Elephas maximus indicus: one gene and its partner. The protein of the gene in region 2 binds, or shares a complex with, the protein of the main gene of each other region. Links are inferred from orthologs where the notes say so. Each region holds a gene or a part of one and is shown on either strand. Other genes may lie near its edges.

Region 1 (8,011 bases), on a different chromosome or scaffold from region 2:
TAAACAGTAATCAGTCCAGACTGGAGAGGTCAGAAATCTCCAGGAGAAATGTTTTCAAGATGAAACTGACAGACTACCTGATGGATCTGAATATATTGGGAGATGAAGACAACTGGCAAAGAGTCTGGGGTTGAATTTATAATCTAAATTTTAAAGTAATAAAATTTACATTAGGAGCATAATAAATTAGGCATGGGAAGGTTTTGTGTGTGGTGAGGGTAGAGGGTGAGGTGAAAGAAAGCTAAATCCTCATCTGCCAGGATGGACAGTCAATATATAATGCTTAAAATGGAAAAATGAAAGAAATATAAGCAATGTTATTTAGAGACATGAGGCAAATAAGAATCAGCTAAAATAAAGTGGTTGCCTCTGGGGAGCAGAAGCTGATGGTAAAGGTGGGAGACTTTTTCAAAATGCCTATAGAACTACTTGATTCTATAAACTATTGGCATATATAACTGATAAAAATCACAAAACACATACCAAAGACCAAACCAAACCCACTGCCATCAAGTCAATTCCGACTATTAGCAACTCTGTAGGACAAAGTAGAACTTCCCCATAGGGTTGCCAAGGCTGTAAATCTTCACTGAAGCAGACTGTCACATCTTGTGGAATGGCTGGTATGTTTGAACCGCTGACCTTTTGGTTAGCAGCTGAGCACGTAACCACAGTGCCACAAGGGCTCCTTACAAAACACATACACAAAGGTCTATAAATGCCTCTCTCGGCACAATAAGAAAATGATACTTTTTTTTCCTCCTTCAGTGGGACAAGGAAGCAGAATGGCATCCTGGCCCTTCTTTTGAGACTTCAGTTTTATTCTTCAGTAAACTGTTCTGAAGCATTTTTGCTGCCTGCCTTTCCTTATCTCTTCTTTTCCCCTTACTCTGCAGGTGGGAGACAAACCTGGGATTTAGAGTCAGAAAATCTGGCTTCAAGTCCCAGCTCTATCTTTTAGAAACTGTGGGACCTTGGGCAAACTAAGTTCCCTGGGCCCATTTTCTCCTCTGCAAAAAGATTAAGATTGATATGAGGAACAAGTTAAGCAGCATACGAAAAAGCTCCATACAAAAGTTATCATCCCATGTGTGTATTTTTAAAGAAGGGAAGAGCAATTCTGATTTATTCATGTATTCGACAAATATTTATGGGGTACCCACTATTCTAGGCAATTCTAGGATAGGTCAGTGGCAGGGGGTGGGAGGAGTGGCAGGTTGCAGCAGATCTCATTGAAAATGTGCTCTTTGAGCAAAGACTTGAAGGTGAGGAAATGAGCCAAGCAGATATCTAGAGAAATGTGTTCTGGGCAGTGGAGACAGCTTGAGCAAGAGCCAGTGTAGCTGTAGTGGAGTAAGAGGGAGAGAACGGCTTTTCACTCAGTGAAATAGGGAGCCACTGGAGAATGGTTTTGAGCAGAAGGATCACAGAATCTGACTTGTTTTAAGAGGATCACTCTGGCTGCTGTGTTGAGAGTAGATTTTAGGGTCTGGAGAGGCAAACTGTTAGGTTTTATAGTAATACAGGTGAGACAGAATGATGGTAGCAGTAGTTGGGTTATAGATATATATTATGGTAGGGCCAAAGGGATTTCCTAAGGCAAAGAATGTGGGAGTGTGAGAGAAAGAGAGGAGTCAAGAATAACACCAATGCTGGAAGAGAATATAATACTTTTTACTCTCTCCCTTAAACCACGTTGACGTCCTCATTTAGTCTTTTAGCCAGATACTAAATTTTTTTGTCCTAGTGGGAATGTAACCAATTCGCTCCCAAACGATTTCCAGTCAGTAATGTAGAATGTCAAAAAACAAAGAAGATTACCAGTCTACCTGCAAAAGCAGTTAAGTAAACATTATGGGTCCTCAACTTGAATAAACTCTAAAAATTTATATCAAAGGCTGGGGCACCAACCCATCCTTGGTTTGAAAATAAAACAATACATAAAAATGATTTCTTACTCTGTGGGAATATACTGCACCTATATCAATCTTGTATGGATTCATTTTCTGCATCTCTTTTTCCAGCTCACTCTGGTTGTTGAAGGATTGGTAGCGAATGTAAATATCATCTTTCAATGTGAATGAAAATTCACGGTGTTGAAAGTAATTCTTTATCACTGCAAAAGAAATTTACATTTTAAAGCTAATTTGGTACCTTACTCAGTTCAGGGCATTATGGCATTTGAGAAATGAGAATACAGTTAGTGAGCCCCGTGCCCAACACTATACTAGATGTAAAAAAGAAAGGGAAAAAAAAAAAAGGGACAAGAGAGAGTACCTCATTTGAAGGGATGTATCCTTCCGCAACTGTTAGGGAAAAGTAAAGTGAGCAGAAAAAATGCAGAAATGTTAAAAATCTAACGCCCCGGTAGGCATTAATAAATTAAATCAGCTGCCAAGAGGATAGTACTTCTCCTCCTCCCAGAGACGCTCTTCTGTCTCTGATACAGATCACGACTCTGTACCTTCATGCTACAACCCAGTAACCCCCTTGCTTAGGCACCGCGGCAGGTCAACTGGACACCTAAAGTGAGCCTGACCGCGTAGGAGGAGGAGCAGCGGCTATGCCTTTCACTGTGTGTCCGTAGGCTGATCAGTGTAGCCTCTCTCGGCCCCCTTCCGCCTCAGAGGAGGTGAGGAGGGCTCAAGATAATGCACCAAGGCGCCCGGCACAATGCCTAGCTCGCAGGAGGTACTTCATATTGTCATTCCGAGAACATCCCGCCAAGAACCTTCTTACACTGCCCTCCCAACCCACTACCCACCCGCTCTCCGCAGCATCACCTCCGCCATAGTTGAGCCAGCGGTAGTATTGGGCATAGGGAAAGAGCCTCCGGTAATAAATCTTAAGCAGTTCGGGCAGATCGGCAGGGTCAAACACCTCCATGGGGCACGGAATTATGCCAGAGCACGACTACCCCAAGAATTGGCGGGAACTGTAAAAAAAAAGTACAGCCGAAGCTTCCGTCACTGCGCAGGCGCGCTGGGCCCTGCTGGCTGACTGGACCGCCGGAATTTGTAGTTTCTACTTCGGGAATGGGCCAGTCGAGGGGCTCGGCGCAGGCGCGCAGACACTACAGCACCGTTCACGTGGGCGGAAACAGTGTCCGTTCCCGGAAGAACGTCTCTGAAAGGTGAGACTTTTGGTTTATCGACTTAGGTTATTAAAGTGGAGTAATAAAGATATTCCGTTCTAACTTTATGAATGTTTCAGAAAAAACGAACGATGCAGACATTTTTTAAAGAGAGTTTGGAAGTTAGTTCTTTTAATATTTCAAAGAATTGCTGAATTCAGTAGAACACCCAGGAACGCTAAAATATGAATTAGAGAAGCCTGCAGAATCATGGTGAGCTTTACGGGTATGAAAAGAGTCGGTTTGCTACTGATGTGGCAGTTACGCCAATCAGCCCTACTGAATAAAAGATACATCTCATTGCAAATGTGGGTTGCGGTGGGCAGCCTGATAATCTAGTTGAGTATCTTGTCACTTGAAAACCATTATTATTAATATTATTTTCACAGTAATAGTAGGAAAGTCAGGAGAGAATAGAGTCTTTCGTAAATGGATTTATTAGCCTAATCTTGAAAATGATCATCACCCCCCAGCTTCTGTGGGCAAGTTAGTCTGCAGTGGGCTCTGGGCAGATCATATTTTTTAATGTTGCCAGAAATCTGGCTTCCTGCACAAATCTTGATTGTTAATTTTCACAGCCCCTATGCATCCTGTTTTGGGTAGGGTCAATTTCAGAGCCTTTAGGGTCTTCACTTTTCCAGTAGTAATAGGAATGCTTTGCAGAGTGGTCTTTCTGGAACCACATCCACCTTGGACTGTTTTTATTCTTTAATTATGAAACCTGTGAGAACCCGAACTCAATGGGATTGCCTTGTTTTTCCGGGTCTTGCAACTTTTCCGTCTCTGACAGGGTGCAGTCTTACCACTTTTCTCTCTCTCATTTTAGTGGAAAGTATTTGAGTTTTCCTTTGCTGACAGGTTTTCACCTTATACAAGTTCTGGCTTTCGTAGATTTTACTGTATAACAGAACATTTATCAATTCAAAATTTTTTACATGTACAGTTTGGTGATACTGATTACATTCTATCATGTGCAACCAGCACCATGATCCATTTCCAGATTATTCCACCACGATTAACAGAAACTCAGTGCCCCCTAAGCCAAGACTTCCCCTCTCTCCTGCCTCCTACCCTTGGTAACCACCAAAAAAAACCTGTTGCCGTCAAGTCAGATTCCAACTCACAGCGACCCTATAGGACAGAGTAGAACTGCCCCATTGGGTTTCCAAGGAGCACCTGCCTAGTGGATTTGAACTGCCGACCTTTTGGTTAGCAGCTGAACTCTTAATCACTATGCCACCAGGGTTTCAATCTCTCTAAAAATGGCATGGGGGCGGCGTCTAACCTCTGATTTCACAAGGAGGAAGGAGAATCATGATCAACAGCCCAGGGCTGATTCCTGTGAGGTGGAGGTCACACATGCCTCCACCCTCCACCCTCTTCATCAATTCTCACACCAACTGTCCCTCCCATGGCACTCCCTACTTCTTTGCTGAGTTCTATAATTCATTGACAATGCTCAGGATTATGGGTTTATTAGGGAAGTGACAGGTTACAATTCAGGTTCAGGAATGCTTAGGATACAGTTCTTCGATCAGGACAGCCTCTTCCCAGCCATGCCTGCCTCTCTCTGGCCCCTTGCCCACTGCCCTGCTTGGGCAAGCATTATAAAGTTCTTTTGGCCCCTTAGGCTCTACCCTGCTTGGGCAAGTGTTACAAAACTTTCAGCTCTGCTGATAAGTGCCCCGAGGCACACCACTCTGCCAGTAAGCCCCTGCTGGAAGGCTCACCTCTAGCTCCGTGGGTCACAAAGGAAGCACCCAACTTTGCCAGCAAGACTCCTGCTCAAAGGCACTAAGCTTTCTTGCTCCGTAGGCCTGGAAAGCCTACTGTGCCAACTCCTGCCTTTGTTTCTCTGCTGCCACTTCTCGCCATCTTCATGTTACAGCTTTCTCTTTCTCTTTTTCTTGGTCTGATTCCAGGAGCTTCTTAGCATAGGGATCCCAGGTCCACAGGATGTGCTCCACTCCTGGCTCTTCTTAGCAGTGGTGAGATCCTCTCCTCCTGCCTCTGGGATGGCTCATCTTAAGGCTAGTGGGATGGCAAAACTGACCAGTCCTTTTGTTAGTTTTCCATAGACCTCATTTGCATGGTCCCACCTGCACAGGGGTGCCATGAACTTTATTTGCATTATTAGCAAGCTATCCAATCCTCTTGGTGGGCCACAATTACCTTATTTGTATACTCTCACCCAGTTACTTGGGTGGGAGATACAAGACCATGGTGAGAAAGGCCATATGAAAGTGATCCATTGCGCTGCAGTCTCTGTGCGTTTGCCTGTGTCATGTAAGTGGACTCAAACAATATTTGTCCTTTTGTCATGGACTTATTTAATTCAGCATAATGTTCTTAGGTTTCATCCGTGTTGTAGCATGTATAAGGACTTCATTTCTCTTTGTGGCAGAATAATATTCCATTGTATGTGTGGATCACATTTTGTTTATCCATTCATCTCTTGATGGATATTTAGGTTATTTCCATCTTTTGACAATTGTGAACAGTGCTGCGATGCGCACTGGACTTTTAAATGGAGATTTCTCAGCTTCCCATCAAATGGAAATTTCTCATCTTCCTTGTTGCTACCTTTAGGAACTGACTTCTTTAGGCTCTTCAGGAGTCCCCTATTTAAATTCCAGGGTTGCTAAGGAGGACAATATCTTAAGTAAGGAGCTAAGACATAAGGGGAGAAGGGAAAGGAAGTTATATTTATTGAGTTCCTGCTATATGCTTGGTTTGTTTAACATTAGTTTTCTCATCAGGAAAAAGGGAATAATAATAGCTAATATTTATATATATATTTAATATTTATATAGCACTTACTATGCCATCAGGTACCATTTTAAGAATTTATTCCTTATAAGAATCTATGTGGTAGGTGTTAGTATTATTTCTCTTTTACAGATGAGGAAATAAGCATAGAAAACTTAATTTGTCCAAGGTCACAGCTAGTAAGTGGGGAGCCAGACAGCCTGGCTCCAGAGCCTGTGCGTTTAACCCCTAAGCTACATGCTGAGTCTGCATGGGGTTGTTATGAGAGTTAAAGGAGTGTCTGGCACAGTCCATGACTCAGAGCCACTCAATGTGAGAAGGCTATTTATTCCTTAAAGGTGTTCTGTCATGATTTTTTGCTGTTGTGTTGATTTTGACTCATAGCGGCCCTGTAGGACAGAGTAGAACTGCCCCATAGGGCTTCCCAGGTAGTAATATTTATGCAAGCAGACTGCCACATCTTTCTCCCATGGAGCACCTGGTGGGTTTGAACTGCTGATCTTTCAGTTAGCAGCTGAGTGCTTACCAAGGTTCCTTGTGTTCCGGCATAGAGGCGTTTATCCCAGACGCCACCAGGAGGCAGTATTGGCATTCAGTTTGTTTCCCATTGGGATTTCTAGGCCACCTAGGTGCAAAAGTCCTTTCTCCTTCAAGCCTTGTACTATCTGGCTTTACCATCCTCTTTAGCGTTTTTGTAATATCTATCAGTCCCAGGTCTGTCTCTCCAAGTTCTTTGCAGATTTGGACACCTACCTAATGGACTTCCCTTCCAGTTCAGCTCCACCTGTTATTCTGGGTGTTTTTAGCATCTAGAAGGATGATCTCTTCAATAAAAGTATGGCTCATTCAGCCACTCTTTAAGTCATCTATTTACTGCACAAATAGTTTATAAACATATGTGGGCACTTTGCCAGGCTCTTGGGAGAAAAATTTAATGATGAGATGCTTTCTGCTCCCAAGAACGTTATAGTCTAGTCAGAGCAATAGACACAAATCAAAAAGTGCAGTGAAGTGTTATGGATGCATTTGTAACCCAAACGTCTGTTGGCATCAACATGTTCCTTATGCCTTGGATAAGATTGGCCCAGGCTCCCAGTCCACAATTTGGAACATGTCCGGTGTCATCTCCTTGATTTCTGCAAACTGGTAAGCTTACTTTCTCATGGCCACCTCTGGCTCAGAGCTCCTGCCAGAACAGAGTTATTTCAGTTAAGAAATCACTTGTCATCCTGCACAGGTTATCCTTTTACTGGAATAAACGGACCCAGATATTGAGTGCACCTGTTCCCATGATTTCCACACCAAAAACCAAAAATAACCCAGAACCATTGTGAGTGAACCATATTAAATTGAAGGTTTGGGAAATTTGGAGAAGCATTTACATGAATAATCTAACATTGAGTATGAGGCAATCCTGTTCTTCAAAGTCCTGCTTTGTTATGTTAACCTCTCTCTCATCCCTTCCCCACCGCCAACTAGCCTTCTACCCCTAGATTCCTATTGATTTCTGTTATGGAACAGCTTGGATCTCTTTTGTGCCCTTGGGGTCTCACCTTCTACTCTAAAGAGAAATAGTTATTTTTCCAAACAAAATTTCCTCCCTGAGAGGGGCTAGATCTTAGGAGAGAGATCTGGACTGAAGTTAGGGATTTACAAGTCATTACTCCTCAGGTCAGGTTTGAAGCCAGGATGATGACTGGGATCAACAAACAAGGAGGATGTGTATGGCAAGAAGAGAAGGACTGGGATAGAATACTTAAGGGGATTAACTTTATATATTGAAGAGAACCCAGCAAAGGACAATGAGAAAGAATAGTAATAGAAGCAGGAGAGCTAGGAGAGAATGATTTCAAAGGAGCCAAGGGAGGAGAAAGCTGTGAAAGGGTGAGCATAGTCATTTAAGATGAAGACTGAAGAGAGTGCTCAGATCTGGCAGCTAGAAGTCATGTATGATCGTTTTATGGAACAGTCAAGACAGAAAGCAAATTGCAGTGGTCTGGGGAATCAATAGGTTCTTCCTCTTTTTCTGATCTTGTTTTACAGGCACCACCACCATCAACTCAATTATCGAAGGGAGGAACCTGGGAGTCAGTCTGAGACTCTTTCCTC
Region 2 (7,110 bases):
CAGCATAATATAAATATGGCACCCTATAAGACGTAAGGTTGAGAAGAGAACAGTTAATTCTGCCTGGGAAATCAGGAAAGGCTTCACAGGGCAGATTTCCAACAGAGGCTCACAAAGAAGAGTAGAATTTCACCATAAGTGAACAGGGTCAAAAAGTGGCATAAGCAGAGGAAAAGGCATGAGCCAAATTACAAAGGATAAAAATGCAAGGTGTATTCAGGAACTGAAAGAAAGTCAGCATGGAAGGTTGAGTGTAGAGTGAATAGGAGAACTGGGAGATCTGGGGGAAGCAGCACATCCCAGCGCTGCCATTTACTGGGTGGCATTAGACGAGTTAACCTCTCTGAGCCTGCAATGGGCAGTTGTCTTTTTTTTTTTTTTAAGTTGCCCAGCATCTGAACCTGTTTGTGAAATTCCCCCCTTATAAGTCTTGATGGAAGACAGGGCCCAGGCCCCACTCAATAGCTGAAAAAAGGTCTGTGTCAGAAGCTTTTTCCCAGACTCCCTTGCAACTAAGGCATGGGCATATAATAGGCTCTACCAATTAGGAACACCTCCTCAGGCTTTAAATCAGAAGGTAATGTCACAAGGAAGTGAAGGAGGCTGACTTAAGGAAAAGTCTAGAAGTAGTGACGCCTACAGGAAGATTGAGTGCCTGCGGTAACAGCGCCAGCAATACCCCAAGATACAAGTTATAGTATCAAGTACTTGGCCACGTTAGCAATGACTTCCTCACTGGACCAGTTTTATGGCATGATTTTAAGTACTGTTCCCGGCTAAGCAGCCCCAGACTGGCTCTCCAGCCCTCTTAAGAGTTTCTGTGAACACCACAGTGTCCTTCCAATAAATTCCTTTTCTGACTAAATCAGTTAGAGTTGGTTCCTGTAGCTTGCAACTAAGGATTCTGGCTAATGCAGAGCCTCAGTGTCCTCATCTGTGAAACTGGGATAATCATGTCTGCTTCGTAAAGTTGGTAAGGGTTAAATGAAGATGTTTATCTTACTTCATATTTAGCAATATAAATAGGAGAGGTTTATTTTAATGTGTGTGTATAGCTGCAGGGTAGTCACACACACATGCAGTACTGTGGCCTATCTTCTAGAAAGCAAAATTAAACAAAGCCACTCTCTCAGGGAAGCCTCAATATAGCACTGCAACATCTCAACTCCATGAGGACTGAAATTACATCCAGCCTACCCACCACTGTAACACTACAGCCTGACAGAATACCTAAGCCTAGTAAAAAAAAAGCCTAGTAGGTACATAATAATTATTTGCTGAATAAACAAATTCATGAACCATTTACTTGCCTTTTTTTTTTTAATCGTTAAGCTCTACCGGAGTCCTTCTCATATATAATGGCTACTTACAGACCTTTCACCTTTTTGCTGCCTTTGTCAAGGTACCATATGTCCTAATACTTAAGGAAAAAAAAAAAAAGACCTGGATTTTCCTTTTTGAAATACATCTCCAATGCTTCACATAATAAGTTAGCAAAAAAAAGAAAAAGCACGAAAAAATCCAGTTATAAAACGTTAAATATCTGGCTCAAAATTACCCTCTGGAGCACCCCTATTCTCCCAAAAAGCAGACAGACACTAGCCTGCAACAGACTCTCAGCCAACAACCTTTCAGTCGGCTCTAAAGGAAAGATTCCAGTCACAAGCCTAGCAACTACTTAATCAACACCATAACTTAAAAGCGATCTCAGGACTGCACAGTATCCTTCAGGGAGTGATTTCTTGATGCTCACAGATGACATACAGTTTTTAGGGCGAGAAAAGGGCTTAGTGGCAAATCACTGACATACAGCTGAAAAGACTGTTCACACTCACATTCTAAATCCCATTTGTAATCCACGCTAGTCGACTCTCCAAAATAAATTGTCTCAAAAAACCAAGGGCAAGAGCAAATTGAAATCTGTGATTTACAACCAGGTGAATGCAAAGGAAGCTGATTAGGCAGCCAGTTCTCATTAATGGTGATGTATCTGAGTGACAGATGAAATGCTTGAGCTAAGACAGTGAAGCATCTGATTTTAAGTTAGAAGTTCACTGAAGTTAAGTCACACTTTAGTTGAACGCCGTTCAAAAATCTGAAATCAGAGAAAGCCATTTGCATTTTCATATTCTATTCTGGGGAATAAGAGATTACCACCGACAAACCGAGTGAGATATAGGGCATCTAAAGTGCCACTGAACCGATCCTTTAAAAAAAAAAAAACTTCACCCGAAGCGACTAGATTGTGCACACTATTTGTATGAAGCACTTGAACAGCTTTCCATGGAAGAATCTGAAAGAAAAATTGTTAATGCATAAAGCAGAAACCCATTACCTAGAAAGACGAAACGCTTTTCTCTCTAGTGATGGCACTTAGAGCTTTCTTTCCTTAGTTCCAATGTATAACAATTTCCCTGGAGTTCCTAGAAAGGGGGACGTACATCTGTCCTGTCCTAGCCCTGAAGCGGATACTTGAGGAAGAAGTAAAACACTTGCAGCCAAGGCAGTGCCCCCACTGAGACCAGTCTCGATGACGGTGTGCCCAACACGTGGGGTGCGACTCACCAAAAGAAATGAAAGGCAGGTGCTCTGACCCGCAGTGACAGAGCTGAGGCAGCTTCCCAAACAAAAAGCCCCACAGGGGATTGCTCGGGTTTGCTAGGAGTAAACAGTCCTGGCACAGAAGTTCTCGTCCAAAGCCAGAAAGAACCCCGCCCAAGACCATCTGTAGTCCTCGCCCGAACAGACCCGCGGGGCGATCTGGGAGCGTGCTTCGCTTAGAAAAAATAGAGACCTCCAGAATCCCCACCACCCGCAATCATGCTATGGTCCCTGAACTCCCAACCGAGCATCCCGCGCGCGGGGCTGACCCTCACCGCTCGCCCCCGGCTCGCAATCGTCGCTGTGCACCGGCGCCATGGTTTCCGACTCTCCCGATTCCGCGCCAACTAGCCCGAAACTGGCGCGGGGGCCGAGACAGGCACCAGCCCGAAAGCCAATCAGCGGCTAGCGAGGCTGCGGACTTCCGCCCGGAAGGCCACTTACGTGCGGCGCAGCGACGAGCCGCGCCCCGCCCCCGGCCTTCCCGCGGCCTCGCGTTTGGCGCCCTGTGATGACCCCTTAGGGGAAGCTTCAGCTGAGCAGAGGCCGAAGGAGAGCAAGAGAAAGAAGCGGTCGGGCGCTGAAAAGGAACCTTCTGGAGACGGGCTGCGCAGGCGCACGCATGCTGATGAGAAAAGATTTGGGCACGTAGAAGTAGCGGCTCTTTGGTTCTGAGACTTGATTTTTCGGGAAAAGAGGCGCGGGCGGGCGGAACATGGGCGTGGTTGTACCATTTCCTCTGGAGCCTGAGAAAGCGACTGCCTCCTGCTGCGCGCTCTGAGTTTTAATTGATGCTTTGCTTGTATAATTTTTATTTTTGAGTAAGTTACCACTTAAAGATATATACACCATCTTAACTAAATAGCATCACACACACACAAACAAAAGCATCGCTAACAAGGAGCAGTCTGACGTCGTATGCCTCCTGATGGGATGCACGTCAAAAAGCCAACACCAGCTATCTGGGCTTCTTGCAAAAAAAAAAAAATGTTTAAGCTAAATCTAACCATGAGGAAACAATCAGATGTATACAAAGTGTAAGACAATCTACAAAATATCTGGCCTGAACTCTTGCAAAAAGTCTATGTTGTGAAAGACAAAAAGGTGTACTAAAGGAGATTAAAGAGAAACAACAACTTGAGTCTCGATTGGGTCCTGAGTATTAAAAACAAAACAAAAAACTGTAAAGGATATTATTTGGGAACATTGGAGAATTTAAGATGACATATTATTATGCTGATGTTAAATTTCTTACATGTGATAACAGGATCGTGATTATGTTGTTGTTAGGTGCCACTGTACAACAGTGCCTATGTAGAACAGAAGGAAACACTGCTCAGTCCTATGCCATCCTCACAATCGTTACTATGTTTTAGTCCATTGTTGAAGCCACTGTGTCAATCCATCTTGTTGAGGGTCTTCCTCTTTTACACTGACCCTCTACTTTACCAACCATGATGTCCTTCTCTAGGGACTGGTCCCTCCTGATAACATGTCCTAGGTACACAAGACAGAGTCTCGCCAACTTCGCTTCTAAGGAGCATTCTGGCTGTACTTTTTCCAAGACAGATTTGTTTGTTTTTTCAGCAGTCCATGGTATATTCAATGCACTTTGCCAACACCATAATTCAAAGGCATCCGTTCTCCTTCGATCTTCCTTATTATTGTCCAGCTTTTGCATGCCTATATTGTTGTTTTTAGGTGCGACTGAATCGGTTCAGACTCATAACAACTCTTCGTACAACAGAACAAAACACTGCCCAGTCCTGCGCCATTCTCACGATCGTTGTTATGCTTGAGCCCCTTGCCGTAGCCACTGTGTCAATCCATTTTGTTGAAAGTCTTCCTCTTTTTTGGTGACACTCTACCAAGCATGATGTCCTTCTCCAGGGACTGATACCCCCTGATAACATGTCCAAAGTATGTGAGATGAAGTCTCGCCTGCTTCTAAGGAGCATTCTGATTGTACTTCTTCCAGGACAGATTTGTTTGTTCTTTTGGCAGTCCATGGTATATTCAGTATTCTTCGCCAACACCATAATTCCATGGCGTCAATTCTTTTTCAGTCTTCCTTATTCATTGTCCAGCTTTTGCGTGCGTATGAGGCGATTGAAAACACCATGGCTTTGGTCAGGCGCACCTTAGTCTTCAAGGTGACATCTTTGCTTTTCAACACTTTAAAGAGGTCTTTTGCAGCAGATTTACCCAATGCAGAACCTCCTTTGATTTCTTGACTGCTGGTTCCATGGATGTTGATTGTGGATCCAAGTAAAATTAAATCCTTGACAACTTCAATCTTTTCTCCGCTTATCATGATGTTGCTTATGGGTCCAGTTGTGAGGATTTTTATTTTCTTTATGTTGAGGCAAAATCCATACTGAAGGCTGTGGTCTTTGATCTTTATCAGTAAGTGCTTCAAGTCCTCTTTGCTTTCAGCAAGCAAGGTTGTGTCATCTGCATAGCGCAGGTTGTTAATGAGTCTTCCTCCAATCCTGATGCCCCACTCTTCTTCGTATAGTCCAGCTTCTTGGATTATTTGCTTAGCATACAGATTGAATAGGTATTGTGGAAGGATACAACCCTGACGCACACCTTTACTGACTTTAAACTATGCGGTATCCCCTTGTTCTGTCTGAACAACTGGCTCTTGATCTATGTACAGGTTCCTCGTGAGCACAATTAAGTGTTCTGAAATTCCCATTCTTCACAACGTTATCCATAATTTTTTATGATCTACACAATCGAATACCTTTGCATAGTCAATAAAACACAGGTAAACATCTTTCTGGTACTCTACTTTCAGCCAGAATCCATCTGACGTCAGCACGTCATTATAATACTTTGTCTTCTCAAGCTGCCCTTGAAATCTTCTGTTCAGCTCTCATCCCTCGTTCTAAGTCCTCTTCGGAATCCAGCTTGAATTTCTGGCAGTTCCCTGTCCATGTACAGCTGAAATCGCTTTTGAATGATCTTCAGCAAAATTTTACTTGTATGTGATATTAATGATATTGTTCGATAATTTCTGCATTCGCTTGGATCACTTTTCTTTGGAATAGGCATAACTGTGAATCTCCTTTAGTCGGTTGTTGACCAGGTAGCTGTCTTCCAAATTTCTTGGCATAGATGAGTAAGCACTTCTAGTGCTGCATCTGTTTGTTGAAACATCTCAGTTGGTATTCTGTGAATTCCTGGAGCCTTGTTTTTATGCCAGTGCCTTCAGTGCAACTTGGACCTCTTCCTTCAGTACCATCAGTTCCTGATCATATGCTACCTCCTAAAATGGTTGAACATCGACTAATTCTTTTGACTATAGTGACTCTGTATATTCCTTCCATCTTCTTTTAATGCTTCCTGCATCGCTTAATATTTTCCCCATAGAATCTTTCAATATTGCAACTCGAGGTTTGAATTTTTTTTTCAGTTCTTTCAGCTTGAGAAAGGCTGAGCATGTTCTTCCCTTTTGGTTTTCTAGGTCTTTGTACATTTCATTACAGGTCTTTGCACATGTCATTATAATACTTTACTTTGTCTTCTTGACCTGCCCTTGAAATCTTCTGTTCAGCTCTTACTTCATCATTTCTTCTGTTTACTTTAGGTACTTGATGTTCAAGAACAACTTTCAGAGTCTCTTCTAACATCCATTTTGGTCTTTTCTTTCTTTTCTGTCTTTTTAATGAGCGCTTGCTTTCTTCATGTATGATGTCCTTGATGTCATTCCACAACTAATCTGGTCTTCAGCCATTAGTGTTCAACACATCAAATCTTTTCTCGAGAAGGTCTCTAAATTCAGGTGGGATATTCTCGAGGTCGTACTTTGGCTCTCATGGGCTTGTTCTAATTTTCTTCAGCTTCAGCTTGAACTTGAATATGAACAATTGATGGTCCGTTCTGTAGTTGTTTCCTGACCTCGTTCTTACTGATGGTATTGAGCTTCTCCATCATCTCTTTCCACAGATGTAGTCGATTTGATTCCTGTGTATTCCATCCGGCAAGGTCCATGTGTATAATTGCCATTTATGTTGTTGAATAAAGGTATTTGCAATGAAGAAGTCGTTGGTCTTGCAAAATTCTATCATGCAATCAAGAAGTGGGCAAAAGATATGAACACACACTTCACTAAAGAAGATATTCAGGCAGCTAACAGATACATGAGAAAATGCTCTCAGTCATTAGCCATTAAAAAAAAGAGAAATGCAAATTAAAACTACGGTGAGATTCCATCTCACTTCAACAAGGCTGGCATTAATCCAAAAAACACAAAATAATAAATGTTGGAGAGGCTGCGGAGAGATTGGAACTCTTATACACTGCTGGTGGGAATGTAAAATGGTACAACCACTTTGGAAATCTATCTGGCGTTACCTTGAACAGTTAGAAATAGAACTACCATACAACCCAGAAATCCCACTCCTCGGAATATACCCTAGAGAAATAAGAGCCTTCACACAAACAGATTAAAAAAAAAATCTTAAATGCACACTCATGTTTATTGCAGCTCTGTTTACAATA

Evidence for each region.
Region 1: the proteins of POLA1 (region 2) and PRIM1 are in contact, whole or in part, in a cryo-EM structure (PDB 7OPL), measured with the Homo sapiens proteins. The link is inferred for Elephas maximus indicus from reciprocal best matches to the Homo sapiens genes POLA1 and PRIM1. Residues at the interface, in NP_058633.2 of Homo sapiens: Tyr439, Ala440, Pro447, Glu448, Lys449, Ser450, Phe876, Thr877, Thr878, Gln880, Leu906; in NP_000937.1 of Homo sapiens: Asn92, Thr93, Val94, Lys95, Leu96, Gly97, Ala98.

What each region holds. Positions count from the first base shown.
Region 1 is NC_064822.1:116,653,883-116,661,893, forward strand, and holds the start of PRIM1 (DNA primase small subunit), read right to left. Parts: upstream 3,002-8,011; 5' UTR 2,887-3,001; coding exon 2,784-2,886; exon of another isoform or gene 2,765-2,783; intron 2,117-2,764; coding exon 1,959-2,116; intron 173-1,958; exon of another isoform or gene 1-172. UniProt on the Homo sapiens protein: Catalytic subunit of the DNA primase complex and component of the DNA polymerase alpha complex (also known as the alpha DNA polymerase-primase complex - primosome/replisome) which play an essential role in the initiation of DNA synthesis.
Region 2 is NC_064846.1:154,224,578-154,231,687, forward strand, and holds the start of POLA1 (DNA polymerase alpha catalytic subunit), read right to left. Parts: upstream 3,001-7,110; 5' UTR 2,920-3,000; coding exon 2,877-2,919; intron 1-2,876. UniProt on the Homo sapiens protein: Catalytic subunit of the DNA polymerase alpha complex (also known as the alpha DNA polymerase-primase complex) which plays an essential role in the initiation of DNA synthesis.